Linked DNA regions of Mus musculus: region 2 is reported to be linked to region 1. Evidence: microRNA targets listed by miRTarBase, many of them from high-throughput screens and not tested one by one. Region 1 holds a microRNA gene; the other region holds the end of a gene's coding sequence.
Evidence for each region. The annotated mature microRNA mmu-miR-9-5p reads UCUUUGGUUAUCUAGCUGUAUGA and lies in region 1 at 2,688-2,710, shown strand. An mRNA with a match to its seed (bases 2 to 7 or 8) in the 3' UTR can be bound and repressed. Matches are read on the target gene's strand: a 7mer-m8 pairs with bases 2 to 8, a 7mer-A1 pairs with bases 2 to 7 and ends in A, and an 8mer does both.

Region 1 (7,119 bases):
GACAGATAAATAAATAAATAAGTAAATAAATAAATAAATTCTGGCTAAACCTGGTCCTGAGAATGCCCCAAGACATGGAGAGATAAGGCTATTTGCTTGCTATCATCCTTCTGGTAGGGAAACATCTTGTGGGTTTTATCTCATCTCAAGCTGGCCCCACCCACAGCCATGCAGCCAGCATTAATAGCAATGAACATTCAGACATACTCCGTTTTGGGTGAGAAGCACTAAGTTAAACCTATTAGCCACCACCTTCCATCTAAGCAAGATAAGCAGTCCACAGGTCTGGCTTTGTTTTGGGCTATTCATGGGACTAGCAGATAGACAGACCCAATGGTTAAAGTGATAGTCCCCTAAATGGACTGCTGGTGACTCCGTGTTTAGGGGTCCCTGGTTACAGGAACTGGCTGGTTTAATCTGACCAGCAGGATTTAGGCATCTCAGCCAGTTTTATAGAAGGGACCCAGCAGAGGATAAGTAGGAGGATGAAGGGACCGCTCACTGGCACACAGAGCAGCTCCTGGGGCCCATGGTTGCTCTGAGAATTTCGATGTACCTAGAACCCAGATGTTGCCCAACAGCAACTGGCTACTCCCCGGTGCTTTTCTGCTTCTGCTTCTTTGGTGGAGAAAAGGACCTTTCTGGCTGGACTGGATTGAGAGCCAGGTGGAGGAAGTTGAGGACGGGGACAGAGCTTTGCCTGAAAGGCATCTTCCTTGGGGAACCGAACCCAGAGCTGGCACTGCATGCCTGGGAGCCTGGAGGAACATGGGTAGAGGGAAAGACCTATTAAAGGTCTCCAGGACTTGGCCAAATTCTGAGTCTCAAAAGCAGCTAGGATTCTGTGGTTATCTGCAGATAGGGTCAAGGAACATTCCCCTGAAATGCAGAAAAGAGGGCCCCCTTTGCTCGCCCATTGTCTCATAGCAGGAGACTCAAACTGCACAGTCTTCCCTTCAGTGAGGGTTTGAGTTGAAAACCTTGAACAAAAGAGACCCTTGCCTCTCCTAAATATTAGGATCACAGTTTGGGAGGAATTAGAACTCAAAAAGACTCTAACGGTGGGGTGAGGTGGGAGGGGGTCAGAGATAGAGTCTCCAGTCCGCATCCCTGCCTCAACCTCCTGGTGCTGAGATTACAGATCTCTTCTCTTTGAGGGAATTTTGCCCTATTTATTTTCTATTTTTGCGTGCTGGTCTTGGTGCAATGTACCGTAGAGCCCAAAAGGAAAATGTAAGATCGACAAGAAGAGCGAAGGTGGCCATCAGAACCGCAATTGGCAATGGATTATAGACGTGGCAGGCGGGTTGTAGATGAGGCAGCAAAAGACTAAGGATTGGCATAAAGACATTGGATCCCATTCTCTGGGGGAGGGGCACCCCAATTGCACGTCTTGGACTGGCCTGGGGAGGGAGGGGGTCGGGCATGGAAAGGCTGGGGGGGAGGGGGGGAAGAAACGAGACAGTGACGTCAGACCAGGTATAGCCAATCAGGGGCTGACCTGAGGAAGGAGTGTGAAGGGATGAATGAAAAGTCCGGAGCCTGAGAGCGCCCCCGCCAGAGCAGCGGCCAAGGCTGAGGAGAGAGCTGGGACTCGAGACCCTGCTCCACCCTGCTGGCTCTCGCTCGGCCCCATTACCTGGCAAGCCCCGGCATCCTTGACCCACGTCCGTGGCGCTGCCTGGGTAGGAACGCGCCTGAAGACCGCGCAGGACACTACCACTGGGCATCCTGGGTTTGATGTAAGTGGCCTGACCCGCGTGGGGCACGAGGTGGGGAAAGCGCCTCAGAGTCCAGCGCGCGCGTCCGCCACCTGCGACCACGGAGCTCTACACCCTCTGCACGGTCCCTGGACCTCCTTCCAGTGGGTTCAGTCCAGATAGCCCCCTCCAGCCACTAAGGGCATCTCTCACTCAGACCCCCAGTGGCATATTTCACATCTCTGAATGATTTCGGCTGCGTTTTGCACAAAACCGGCTCCCGCGCGGTTCCGTAGGTCCAGGGCTCGGAGCACCTGCCTGGTCACCCTTTGCCCTAACCCGCAGCCCCACGTCCTGACTGCTCGCCCGATTCTCTCTGGGTGGGGTCTTTGCCCTTGGGAGAGTCGCTGGGGAGTCTCTAGATCACCCTCCACCCCGCCGCCAGCCACAGGCTTCCCTCTGGGCCTCGGGGTTCCCCAGTGCTGGGGTTCCCGTCCGGGGCTTCGCGGCCGCTCCCCTGCAGTCGGTAGCTCGGAGCAGCTCTGCGAGCTCGGCTCTGCCGCACCCCGCGGAGCTCACACTCGACCTTCCAGAGAAGGGTGTGGACACCGTGGGAGGTTGGGGAGGCCTCGGCCTAGGCTTCTGCGGTCTTCCCGGATGGCACGAAGGCCCTGGAGCCTTTCCACTAGCACCGGCGGAACCCTGCTTCTGCACGGAGGAGGGAGTGGGAAATGGGCGGTCAGGCTTGGGGCCGCTTGGTTTCAGCCTAGATTCCCGACCTCAGAACCGTCGGCGGTAGCATCTTTTCCTCGCCTTTCTGAGGTCTCGTCGTGATAGTGCGTGAGGTCCTGGATCCCATCTTTTCGCCTCCACACCACGCGCGTCCCCCATCCGCCGTCGAGCGACTCGAGACTACGGAGGTCCAGGCGGTGGCCGGGAGGCTGCGTGGAAGAGGAGGAGGCGGCCAGGAGGCGGGGTTGGTTGTTATCTTTGGTTATCTAGCTGTATGAGTGGTGTGGAGTCTTCATAAAGCTAGATAACCGAAAGTAAAAATAACCCCATACACTGCGCAGAGGGCCTGGAACGCTGGTAGTGGCCGAGCTGCAGGAGGGAGAGCCGTGCCAGGCGTGCCTGGAGGCTGGAGGGCTGGGGGGAGGGGGACTCGTCGCCTTCAAAGGTTGCTCAGCCCGAGCCACCTCGCGATCCCCACCCGCAACCTGCTCACCTGGGAAGAAAGCAAGAAGCCGCTCTGGGGTCGCCTCTGGAGGCCTGGTCAAAATGGAGCAGTCTGGGCCTCAGTCCGGAGAAGCCGCTCCCGGGAGAGACAGAGCCCTTGGCTGAAGGGTTGGGGGGAAAGTGCAAGCATCCCTCTCCCGGTCTCGACGCATCCCGGGAGCGGGTGGCTGGTGTGAGCAGCTTCCCTCTGGCTCTTCGAAGCGACTGGTGGAGTTCGAGGTTCGTAGGATGTCTCTAGAAAGCTGGTTTTTGCTTTGGTGGTTTCCCTGAAGCCCTTCAGCTTTACTGGGAGTCAAGATTGCCCAGGTGGGAACAGGTCTAGGAGCGGGGAAGGCTTAAAAACCAACACACACATCGAACTTATTAGGGAGAATGGCGATGCAGAAACAAAGTAACCACAAGGGCAAGGGCCAGAGTGGCCAGAGACCTTTTTACCCCACAGGAATTCTGGGACCCTGGGGCGCAGGTTCTTTGCTTTCACTTTGGCCTTCAGGACCAGAGCTAAGTCTAACTGAACTCTCTCTGGCTGCTTTGTCATTAGTGGCTAAAGGTGTAGAGTTGGGGTGGGGGGCTTTAGAGCATCCCACCTTTCGGTCCTAACCTCACTCTTGGAAATCGTGTCCCAAAGGAACAAATGGCCTCAAGGAGCTCTGTGGAGCTCAAACACAAAGGAATGTGTAGCTGTGCTGCCCAGAGAACGCAAAGAATTAGAGAGATTAATTTGGGCTCCTGTAAAAAGAATCTATTTATCTTGCCTGACCTAAATATTTTAGTGAAAGAGGGTTTCTACAGCTGAGAAGATGGTCTAACAAACATGGCCAGAGCTAGGAATCCCCTCTGCTCTCATGGCCCTCAGCCGAACTTGACCAGCTGGCACTTGGAGACCTGGGCTGTACCGACTAATAAGAGGCAGAAAACTGGGCAAAATGTCATCACCCAGACTCCGCTGGTTCTTATAAATTTAAAATTTCCTCCCGGGACCTGATTTTACAGTTAGAAGATAATGATTCAATTTTGTATTACATGGGGGGAAATATTAGAGAATCCAAATTCAAATTCTGGGACTTCAGGGAATCTATTGCCTGTGTGTGTCTTCTTTAGCAGTTAGGGGAGGGAGAGTCGAGTGGCCTCTTAAATTCCAGAAGCTTGGAATTTGTTTTGTTTTGGTAGGGGTGGTGGGGATGAAGCTTAAGTCAAGGAGAAAAGAGGCTGGGTCTAGGCTGGAACTAATGGTCTGGCCACAGCCTGTTTTCTTTTTCCGCTGCTTGAGAGATGCCATGTGATCCCATGTTACACAGGCACAAGTGAGCAGCTGACATTACTCACTGGCTTGACACTCAAAGCTCCTTCCATTTACTCTGTCTTGGAGAAAGTGACACTCCCCACCCCAAGGGAGCCAACTGGGAAAGTAGAAAGAAGGGAAGCCTCTCTGTTATTGGGAATTTGCATGGGCAGAGGAGGGGCATCAATAAAATAAGCTTCCTTATCATTACCATCTTTAATGTTTCCTGTATAGTGTCTTCACTGTAAATTCCAGGACAGCCAGGGCTACACAGCCCTCTATCATAGCACAGGCCTATAATCTGAGCAGTTGCAAAGTAGAGGACGAAGGATCAAGAATTCAAAGTCATCCTTGTCTACACAGCAAGTTCTTGGGCATCCTAGAGTCCCCCTAAACACACACACACACACACACACACACACACACACACACACACACACACACCACATATTCCCAGGAACACTTAGAGTCTCAGTTGCTAACCACAGTAGTTTTATATTATTGTTTCCCATGAGCACATTGGATCACAGGCTCTTCAAAAGAGAGTAGAAGGCTTTAGGAAAAGGAGGAATAGAGGCTAGGAGGTTAGGCTGCTAAGGGTTCATGTCTTCTTTAGATGCACACTGACTGTGTATGTGTACGGTACTCAGCAGGGCAGCAGGTGCCCTTTGTGAAGTCCATGTGCCTAAGGGTGAAGAGAGGGAGGCAGCCTGTGTGGATTGGTATAAGGATGTGTGCTGTGCTAGGAAACTCAGCTGGGACACTGGGGATGCTAGAATGTGGCCAGGCAAAACCACAGAAAAGAGCTGGGGTTTATTAAATGCAGACATCACAGTGATACCAAAGTCTCCTCCTCCTCCTCCTCCTCCTCCTCCTCCTCCTCCTCCTCCTCCTCCCCGTCCTCCTCCCCCTCCTCTCCTTTGTTTTAATTATTTATTTTGTGTCTGTGGTTATATATTTGTAAGTCAGAGGACAAATTATGAGAGAGCCTGTTCACTCCTTTAACCCTGTGGGTTCAGGAGATGGAAATCAAATGTCAGGTTTGGTGGCAAAGACCTTTATCCAGAGATATCTCCATGGATCTCTCCTTTTTTTTTTTTAGAAAGTGTTGCCCAGGCTTCCGTGGAACTGATGACAATTCTCCTGCTTCAGCCTCCCAAGTGCTGAACTTCCCCTCTTTATATCATATAGCACCCTCCCTACCCAGCTAAACTGTGTAGGAGAGCTCCTTTGGTCTGAGTTCATGTTTTGTCCACTTGAGAAGTCTCCTTTGTTTAAAAACTGCCATTTCTATTCTTCAGTCTGCTACACACACCAGACTTACTGGAAACCAATTTCACATCTGGTTTCAAAGATGTCTGTCTCTGCGGGTGTGTTTTGCCTGCATATGTCTATGCACCATATAGTAATGCCCTCCAAGGCAAGAAGAGGATGCTGGATCGCCCTAGAACTGGGGTCACGGATGTTTGTAGATGTTGAGAATTGAAAACTGGATCAGTACAGCCAGTGTTCTTAACCACTGAGCATCTTTCCAGCCCCTCAGCTGTTTCTGTGACCCACGTTTTTCAAGCCCTTGCCCTATGTCCTTTTGCAGGGCTCTCAGTATACGCAGCTGAAGGCAACTTTCTTACAAATATTTCACTCCAGTTTTGCATGAATCCAACCCAGAGACAATACCCCCACCCCTTCTAGGCATTGAAAAGGTCTTATTGAGCCAGGCATGGTGGATTGATGCATGCCTTTAGTCCCAGACTTTTGAGACAGAGGCAGGTAGATCTCTGTGAGTTTCAGGACAGCAAGACCTACATAGTGAGACCCTGCTCTTAAGAGAAAGAAAGAAAGAAAGAAAGAAAGAAAGAAAGAAAGAAAGAAAGAAAGAAAGAAAGAAAGAGAAAGAGAGAGAGAGAGAGAGAGGGAGGGAGGGAGGAAGGAAGGAAGGAAGGAAGGAAGGAAGGAAGGAAGGAAGGACAAAATCTAAGAAAAGGAACTAGGTTTTTTTTGGAATCCTGGTCTCAGGCATGTCACTTACACATTACATCTGAGTGAGTTTCCCATGTTGTTCTGTGTAGCAAAGGATGCTCTACACACCATGTGGTGACACCCACAGGGAGGCATTCCTTCACTGCAGAGGATTGAAGGCTACCCTTTGGGGTGTTTGTAACCAAGTAACTGTAACCCTTTAAAGAAGGATTGAGGAGGGTCCCCTTGGTGAGCCTGCCGAGGGAAGAGCTGGGGTCTGCGGGTCACTATTCATAGTCATCCTGCACCCACACCTCTCTGCATCAGATTTCTTGGGACACAGTTTCACTTTTAACTCAGATTGACCTAGAACCCTCAAAGTAGCCAGGGCTGGCCTCTAACTGATGGTGATCCTCCTGCCTCAATCCTCCAATGCTTACAGTCACGCCTGGCTTTGTGTTCTTTCTTCTAAGAACATGTGTGGCAGGTTGCATAATGTGTAAGTGATAGTCAGAACCCTTTGCCATTCAATATCTAGATTTTAGAGTTTCTAGAAGCAGGAGCTGGGCTTAGTGGGTCATGCCTATAACCTCAATACTCAGGAGGCTGAGGCGGGAGGGTCCAGACATCAAGGTCAGCTTGTTCACACTGAGATCTTGCCTAAGAAAATAATTTTTAAAAGACCCCACAAAAGAGGAGATGGGGAGATTGTACCAACAGGCAAGATGGGCCAACTCCCCCCAGGAGGTGAGTGAATTTAGGTTAATGGTGGTTTCAAATGACTGCCGGGGAGGAGAAGACAAACTGGGAGAACAAACATTTGGGATTTGAGGAGAAGGGGGAATAGGGTTATGAAAGGAAGGTTGAGCGTGCTTTTAACTGAAGACAGAGGTGAGAAAAAAGGGAGGCTCCTTGCCACCCAGGCTTTGCCAAGGCTAGAGT
Region 2 (7,119 bases), not on the chromosome of region 1:
AAAATGGTCCATTAAGCCAGGCATAGTGACATATGCCTTTAGGCCTAGTACCTTTGAATCTCTGTGAGTTCAAGGCCAGCTTGGTCTATATAAAGTTTTAGGACAGCCAGAGCTACAAAGAGAGACTGTCTCAAAAAATGAGGAATGGATTGTCTTTTTTTTTTTTTTTTTTTCTTATCCCTGGGGGGAGATGCTGGAGAGGTGACAGGGATACCAGCTAAGCAGGTGTGTGTGTCCCCGGACTTCAACGCTTCCTCTTTCCCCCTCCCCCAGCGCTGTCTGGACTGGAACCGCGACATCCTTAAGAGGGAGCTAGCGCTGACTGAGAAGGACATTATTGACCTGCCCGCGCTCTTCAAGATGGATGAAAATCACCAGGCCAGGGCTTTCTTCCCTAACATGGTGAGATACTCCAGCCCCAACCCCTCATGCCACCCCCAGCAGGGTGCAAACAGCCCCAGAAGGGCCCAGCTGAGTTGCTGGGTAACCTCACCTCTGACCCTTGCCCTCTCTGAGCCTCTCCATTCCCTGCTAGGGGTGACATGCTTAGCCTTGCTTTCTTACTAGGTGTCTATCCCCTGGCCCATTACTCTAGACAGGAGAGTGCTTGGCAAAAACTATCACAGCTCAGAATCTGTGCCTGTGTTTCCCCACCTCTAGAGGAGGATCCCTGACAACACGCCCTACATAGATAGGACTTGACGCCCTCAGGCAAACAGTGGCTGCTCCCTAAACACTCGCTCCCCTCCCAGGTGAACATGATCGTGCTAGACAAGGACCTGGGCATCCCCAAGCCTTTCGGGCCCCAGGTGGAGGAGGAGTGCTGCCTGGAGACGCACGTTCGAGGCCTGCTGGAGCCCCTGGGCCTCGCCTGCACGTTCATCGATGACATCTCCGCCTACCACAAGTTCCTGGGAGAGGTTCACTGTGGCACCAATGTCCGCAGGAAGCCGTTCACCTTCAAGTGGTGGCACATGGTGCCCTGACTGCCTTTTCCTTTTCCTCCTCCGCTGCGGTCTCTGGGTCCTTCCTGTACCCCCAAGTCCTTCCCCTACAAGAAGCAGATGGGATTGGGGGATATATGTGCCTTGCTGTCCCCTGGAGAAGGACCTCAGTGTCCACTGAAGCCCCACCCCCACCCCAGTAAGCCCAGCCATCCTCCACCTAAAACTAGTGGGACATGTGGTTAGTGTGCAGAGCCCTGGCCAGGGAAAGGGGACATCAACAAATCATGTAGTCAGATTGTCCCCAGGAATTCTCAGCCTCTACTCCAGGCCAGAATGAGGGAAGGGAGAAGGGAGGCTCTGAGGTCATTGGCTCTCCCAGCATCCATCTGACATTCAAGGTAGACCAGGAGAGGGTCCTGGAGTACCTTGGATGGTACCCTCACTTCAAGCTCACCTCCCTCGGGGTCTCCTGGTGGCTGGCTCCCTGCACCTGTTCATTCCTTACAGTTTCCCGTACACGTTGCGTCCCCACTCCCTGAGGGTCCAATCATTCAGCACAGAATCTTCCAGAAATAGGTCTTAGCAGAGGAGCGTTCTTCACTTTCTGTGGATGCGGGCTGCCCAAATTTAGGAGAAAGGGGAGGTCTCAGACTAGCATCCACGGTCTAAAGTTCGGTATATGAAGATGCTCCTGCCTGTCAATGCTATTTCTGTTCTCTCACCTGGTCCTCAATTCTCTGGCCAGTTCTTGGGCTCATTGCTCTTCCTATTTTGGACATTGACCTTCCTGTTCTGGACATTTGTCCCTCCAGCAGCTACACAGCCAGATCCAGGCCTCCCGAGAGCCTGAGAAGCAGCCTATCTCTCCTCATGGATGCTGGCCCCAGTGTCCAAGGATGCTGGCCACGTTCCAGCCTCAGTGCTCCCTTTCCAGCTAGCTGCTGCTCCAGAGGAGGAATTTCCCAGCATGCTTTCCAAAGGCTCCCATCCAGATACAGGCAAATTTACCCCTCGGCTTCCATTAGAAAGACCCCCAGGAGCTGCAGAGATGGCTCAGCAATTAAAAATGCTCCCTGCTCTTGGAGAGGACCCAAGTGCAGTTCTCAACACCTGCAACTGTCTGTAATCCCAGATCCAGAGGCTCCAGTACCCCGTTCTGGCCCCTGAGGGCACTGCACACATGTGTACAAACCCATACACATAAATACATTTGTTAGGGTCTGGAGAGATAGGGCCCGGTGGTGCACAATCTGCTATTGCAGAGTACCGGGGTTCAGTTCTCAGCACCCAGGTGGTGGCTCACAACTACCTATAACTCTAGTTCCAGGGGGTCCAATGCTCTCATCTGACCTCCACGGGCTTCTGCACATACATGGTTCACATACACACACTCAAGCACACATCCAAGTAAAGTAAAATAAATGATATTTAAAAAATAAAAAAAAATTTTAAATAAAAAAGGTCCTTTAAGGCCAAGAAGATAGGAAATATTAATTCTACTTTGAAAGGTTAAACAGCTCCATTTTATAACCAAAGAAAGGGTTACAGACCTACATTATTTTTTTTTATTAAAGATTTATTTATTTATTTTATGTATATGAGTACACTGCAGCTGTCTTCAGACACACCAGAAGAGGGCGTCAGATCCCATTACAGATGGTTGTGAGCCACCATGTGGTTGCTGGGAATTGAACTTAGGACCTCTGGGCGAGCAGTCAATGCTCTTAACCACTGAGCCATCTCTCCAGCCCCAGACCTACATTCTTAGGGGAACAAGATTTTTACCTTGGATTATTTCCTCAGCTATGCAATCAACGGGTTGTATGCTACTGAGCAGTGGGCACAGACTTAGACTCCGATAACATAAGCTAACCGTAGACTCGCTTGTCCCCTGCAGACAAAGCGCACATCTACGTGGCCGCACTTGCCCTTGCTGTGGTAGGCTCTTTGGGAACACTACCCAGTATATCCAATAAGCATACGCTCAACAGTCACTGCCTTCGAGAGTTAGGGTCGTGTCTTCTTCTCCATCCAGTTGGGCCAACAGCCATGCCAGGTCGGGCCTCAGAGCCTCCAAAGCTGCCATCATCTGTCTCTGGAGACAGTGGTCCCTGCTCTTGAGGGCAAAGCCCCAAATCCTGTCTCCTGCTCCAGAGTAGAAAACACGGGCACCTCTCTGAGGGAGCTGATGTGGAGAGGTGGGGGCTTGTGGTGTTCGGTTAAAGTGACTTTACTGCTTTTATTTTTATCTGGGGTGGGAGGAAGTGAGCACCTCCCATATGGCAGCCGCGTGGCTTTGTAGACTGCTACAATACTCCCTGGTGGCATTGGTTGTCTCAGAAATTTCTGGAACTCCAGGACTCAGACACTGCCTGTCCCATCTCACTTACTCACCCAGTGTGACTCCCCCCCAAGTGTGGATGCCCCCTTGCCTCCCCTGGGTGGACTCCTTGCTCTTCCCCACCCCCACTGTGTTTTGTTTTGTTTTGTTTTTAACTTAGGCCCAGATGCTTCTGGGCTACACCAGTTCCTGTTTCGATGTGAGTTTTGAAATGCTCCGTGAAGGGCTGAGGGACGGCAGGAAGATGGCGGGAGCCAGGCAGTACCAACTTCCTGGCGAAGAAGCCAAGATGGAGACTGAGAAGTGTTTGGGGAAGAGCCAAAATAAAGAGCAATAAAATAAGCCGTCCACGGGAAGCTACGCGGCTCTGGGTGACATTCTTTGCGGCTTCTGAGACATAGACACAAGTCAGTCAGATCACATGTGGCCCTTGTGGTCATGAAGCTCCTATTGTTCTGAACATAAAGTCTTGATCCTTATCAAACTCATCTCGAGGACCCAGCACCACCCCATCTTGCCCCCCACACACACACACATACACACACATACACTCTCAGGACTGTGTGTCACACAGCCTCTACCCAAGGTCGTGACCAATATCCACAGTAAGTAAGCAACCATGTTTTAAAACTGAGTTTCCCCAGATGCACACAGTGAGATAAGCATTTGGGAGCCAGTGAGTTGTTAGCCAAGCGTCTCCAGGAGAAACGGATCCAGAAACTGGGGGGACAGGGCATTGAAAGTGAAGGAAGACACAAGAAAGGGGTGTAACTTCAGGGCCAGTGCAGGGCCAGTATCCTAGTACCCCCTGTGAGCTCTGCAGGGCTGATGGCCCCTGGAAGTCAACCCCATGGAACGCAGGTCCCACTGCATCTGACCAGCAGGGCACTAACTCTGGCCCCTTTGGTCCTTGATGGGGAAAGCCACCGGTAGTCTACGGCAACATCTAAAGAAGGTTGTATCTGCTGCATTATGAACAGAGTTAGGGAGTGGGGCTTGGAGAGATTGCTCAGTGGTTAAACACGCTTGCTAGTCTTCCAGACAGTGGCTAACTCCCACTTTTGGCCTCTGTGGGCACCTGCACGCACACACGCACACTCAGGTACATACAAATAAATAACATAAAGCCAAGTTAAACCCGTGAGGTAGCTCACCGGGTAAAGGGGCTTACCGTGAGCCTGCAGGCTGACTTTTGTTTCTGAGACTACCTTTAAGACAGGAGGAAAGAGCTGACTATATGAAGTTGTCCTCTGACCTCCACATGTCTGTCCTGGCACATGGATCTACATGCACAAAAAAAAAAAAAACAAAAAAAAAAACCTTCTAGCCAGGCACGACGGCACGTGCCTTTAATATCAGCACTCAGGAGACAGAGACAGGTGAATCTTGTGAGTTCAAGGTCTATGCAGCAAGTTAGTTCCAGACAAACCAAGGCTAAACAGGGAGCCAGAGAGGCCAGGGATTGGTGGCACATGCTTTTAATCCCAGTACTCTAGAGGCAGAAGCAGGAGAGTCTCTGTGAGTTTGAGGCCAGCCTGGTCAACAGAGAGAGTTCCAGGACATCCAGGGTTACACAAAGAAACCCTGTCTCAAAAGAGAAAAACAACAACAAAAACCTAGAATCCAGTCATCTGACTGTCATAGTTCATCAAAGTTGATTTCTGTAACACAGAAAGTAGAAATGCAAAGGGAACATCAGCCTTCTTCCTTCCAGAACCTTCCAGAAAGTCCTCTTGCCTAAGCTATGGCCATCTTGGGGGGCAGGGGGGTGGCTTTGCTATGTCACCATTGCCCACTGTCAGGATGAACCCCCCACACCCATCTTGACTCTGTCCTTTATTGTTAAAGGTTGTCTTGCAGGGAACAGGAAGTCCTTTTCTCAGCCCTCCTTCTCCTCCCCCTCCTCCTCCTCCTCCCCCTCCTCCCCCTCCTCCTCCTCCTCCTCCTCCCCCTCCTCCTCTTCCCCCTCCTCTTCATCATTAACCCTAGCCTAGAGGTGCTTTGCCTGCATGTATGTCTATGTACCACATAGACTTCATAGCTTTCAGAAACAAGACCAGGGCATTGGATTCCCCAGGACTGGAGTTACAGACAGTTGTGAGCTGCAGTGTGGGTACTGGGAATTTAACCCAGTTCCTCTGGAAGAGCAGCCAGTGCTCTTAACTGCTGAGCCATCTCTCCAGCCATCTTTATTACAGCCATGCTCATGACCCAAAGGTTAACCCCGACGATTGAAGGAGAAAGGCTGACCATCAACCCAGATCATCACCACCGAAGTAACTGGAACAACAATGAATTAAAGCAAGGTCTTTATTTCCAGACACAGGATGCCTCCCAATACGTGGTGTTCAAGAGATCACCGCTGTAGAATAAGTTGATCATAACAACCTCTTTGAGGGGGCTGGAGAGATGGCTCAGCAGTTAAGAGCACTGACTGCTCTTCTGTAGGTCCTGAGTTCAAATCCTAGCAACCACATGGTGGCTCACAACCATCTGTAATGAGATTTGATGCTCTCTTCTGGTGTGTCTGAAGACAGCTACAGTGTACTTACATATAATAAATAAATAAATGTAAACAAACAAACAAAAAACAACCTTTTTGAAGCGGAGGCATGATTGCAAGGTGGTCGTTACAAGGTAGTCCTAATAACTGTTTAAACAAAGGCCAGGTTGCAAGATGTCTGTTACAACTTCTGAAACAAAGGTTTAGTTGTCATTTTTCTGGAACAGGTAGTTCAGCACTATCTGTAGTTAAGGTTACAGGCGGGGCATAGCCCAGTCCTTGAGAAGCAGACACAGTCATAAACAGCAATGAGTGTAGTGTGTCTTTACTACACAATGGCTTTTAAGTCTAAGATGGAGGCAGGCTGGTTTGTCACTTATTTTCTGTTTTTTTTTAAATTTATTATTTATATATTATTAAATTTTGCAGACCAAACACAGATTTATTAAGGAAAAGTGAGAAAGAACTCCCCAGAGTGGGAGAGGTTCTAAGTAAGAAATATTTTATTTTCTTCTTCTCTGTTTGGCTATTGAGAATTGAACCAAAGGTTTCACACGTTCTAGATACGTGTTCTACCACTAAGTGATATCCCTTTCCTCCGACCTCTCGCTCGCTCTCTCTCTGTCTCTCTCTCTCTCGCTCGCTTTCTCTCTAGATAAGTGTTCTACCACTAAGTGATATCCCTTTCCTCCGACCTCTCGCTCTCTTCTCGCTCTCTCACTTTCTCTCTTTCTTTTCCAAGACAGGATTTGTTTCTGTGTAACCCTGGCTGCCCTGAGCTCACTCTGTAGACCAGGCTAGCCTTGAACTAAGAGATCTTCCTGCCTCCTGAGTGCTAAGATTAAAGGTGTGCATCATCACTGCTCAGCTTGCTTTCTTCTCCCTCTCTCCCTCTCTCCCTCCCCCTCCCTCTCCCTCTCTCTTTGCTTCTGAGATAGGATCTCTAGCCCAGGACAGCCTTAAGCTCCCTATGCAACCAACAGTGATCTTGAACTTCTAATTCTTCTACCTCCACCTTCCAAGAGCTGAAATCACAGGTATGGACCTCCGTGCCCAGTTTAGGCAACGCTGAGAACTGAAGCGCAGACTTCATGGCTACTTGCCACCTTCCCAGCCCCGGGTTCATAGTGTTGTGGAGCCATCGCTCTGCTTGTGGCTCTTGAGTCCCTCCTAACCTGTGAATCTTATGAAAACTCTAAGAAGGGTTTCTGGCCCCTCGGTGGGCAGTGTCACTGACACAGTAATTGATCATCTTTTATAAACATTGCTACCAGAGCAGAATAATGATTCAGCCACCACTCTTGGAAAGAACTTAGAGACGTGCATTC

Region 2: miRTarBase lists Padi2 as a target of mmu-miR-9-5p. Seed matches in the 3' UTR shown: 8mer at 2,477-2,484.

Annotation. Positions count from the first base shown.
Region 1 is chr3:88,212,926-88,220,044 of GRCm38, forward strand. Mir9-1 (microRNA 9-1) reads left to right here and starts at 2,673; the gene lies at 2,673-2,761. The region is part of intron 2 of Gm3764 (predicted gene 3764); the gene reads left to right. It overlaps Mir3093 (microRNA 3093), which reads left to right and starts at 2,246; the gene lies at 2,246-2,332. It overlaps Gm25641 (predicted gene, 25641), which reads right to left and starts at 2,745; the gene lies at 2,688-2,745.
Region 2 is chr4:140,948,939-140,956,057 of GRCm38, forward strand. It overlaps Padi2 (peptidyl arginine deiminase, type II), which reads left to right. Exons shown (of 16, transcript NM_008812.2): 15 at 274-402; 16 at 753-3,648. The coding sequence ends at 986. Gm13031 (predicted gene 13031) reads right to left here. Exons shown (of 4, transcript NR_045911.1): 2 at 903-1,051. Among named protein-coding and RNA genes, the nearest start is that of Gm13031, 5.4 kb to the right of the region's middle.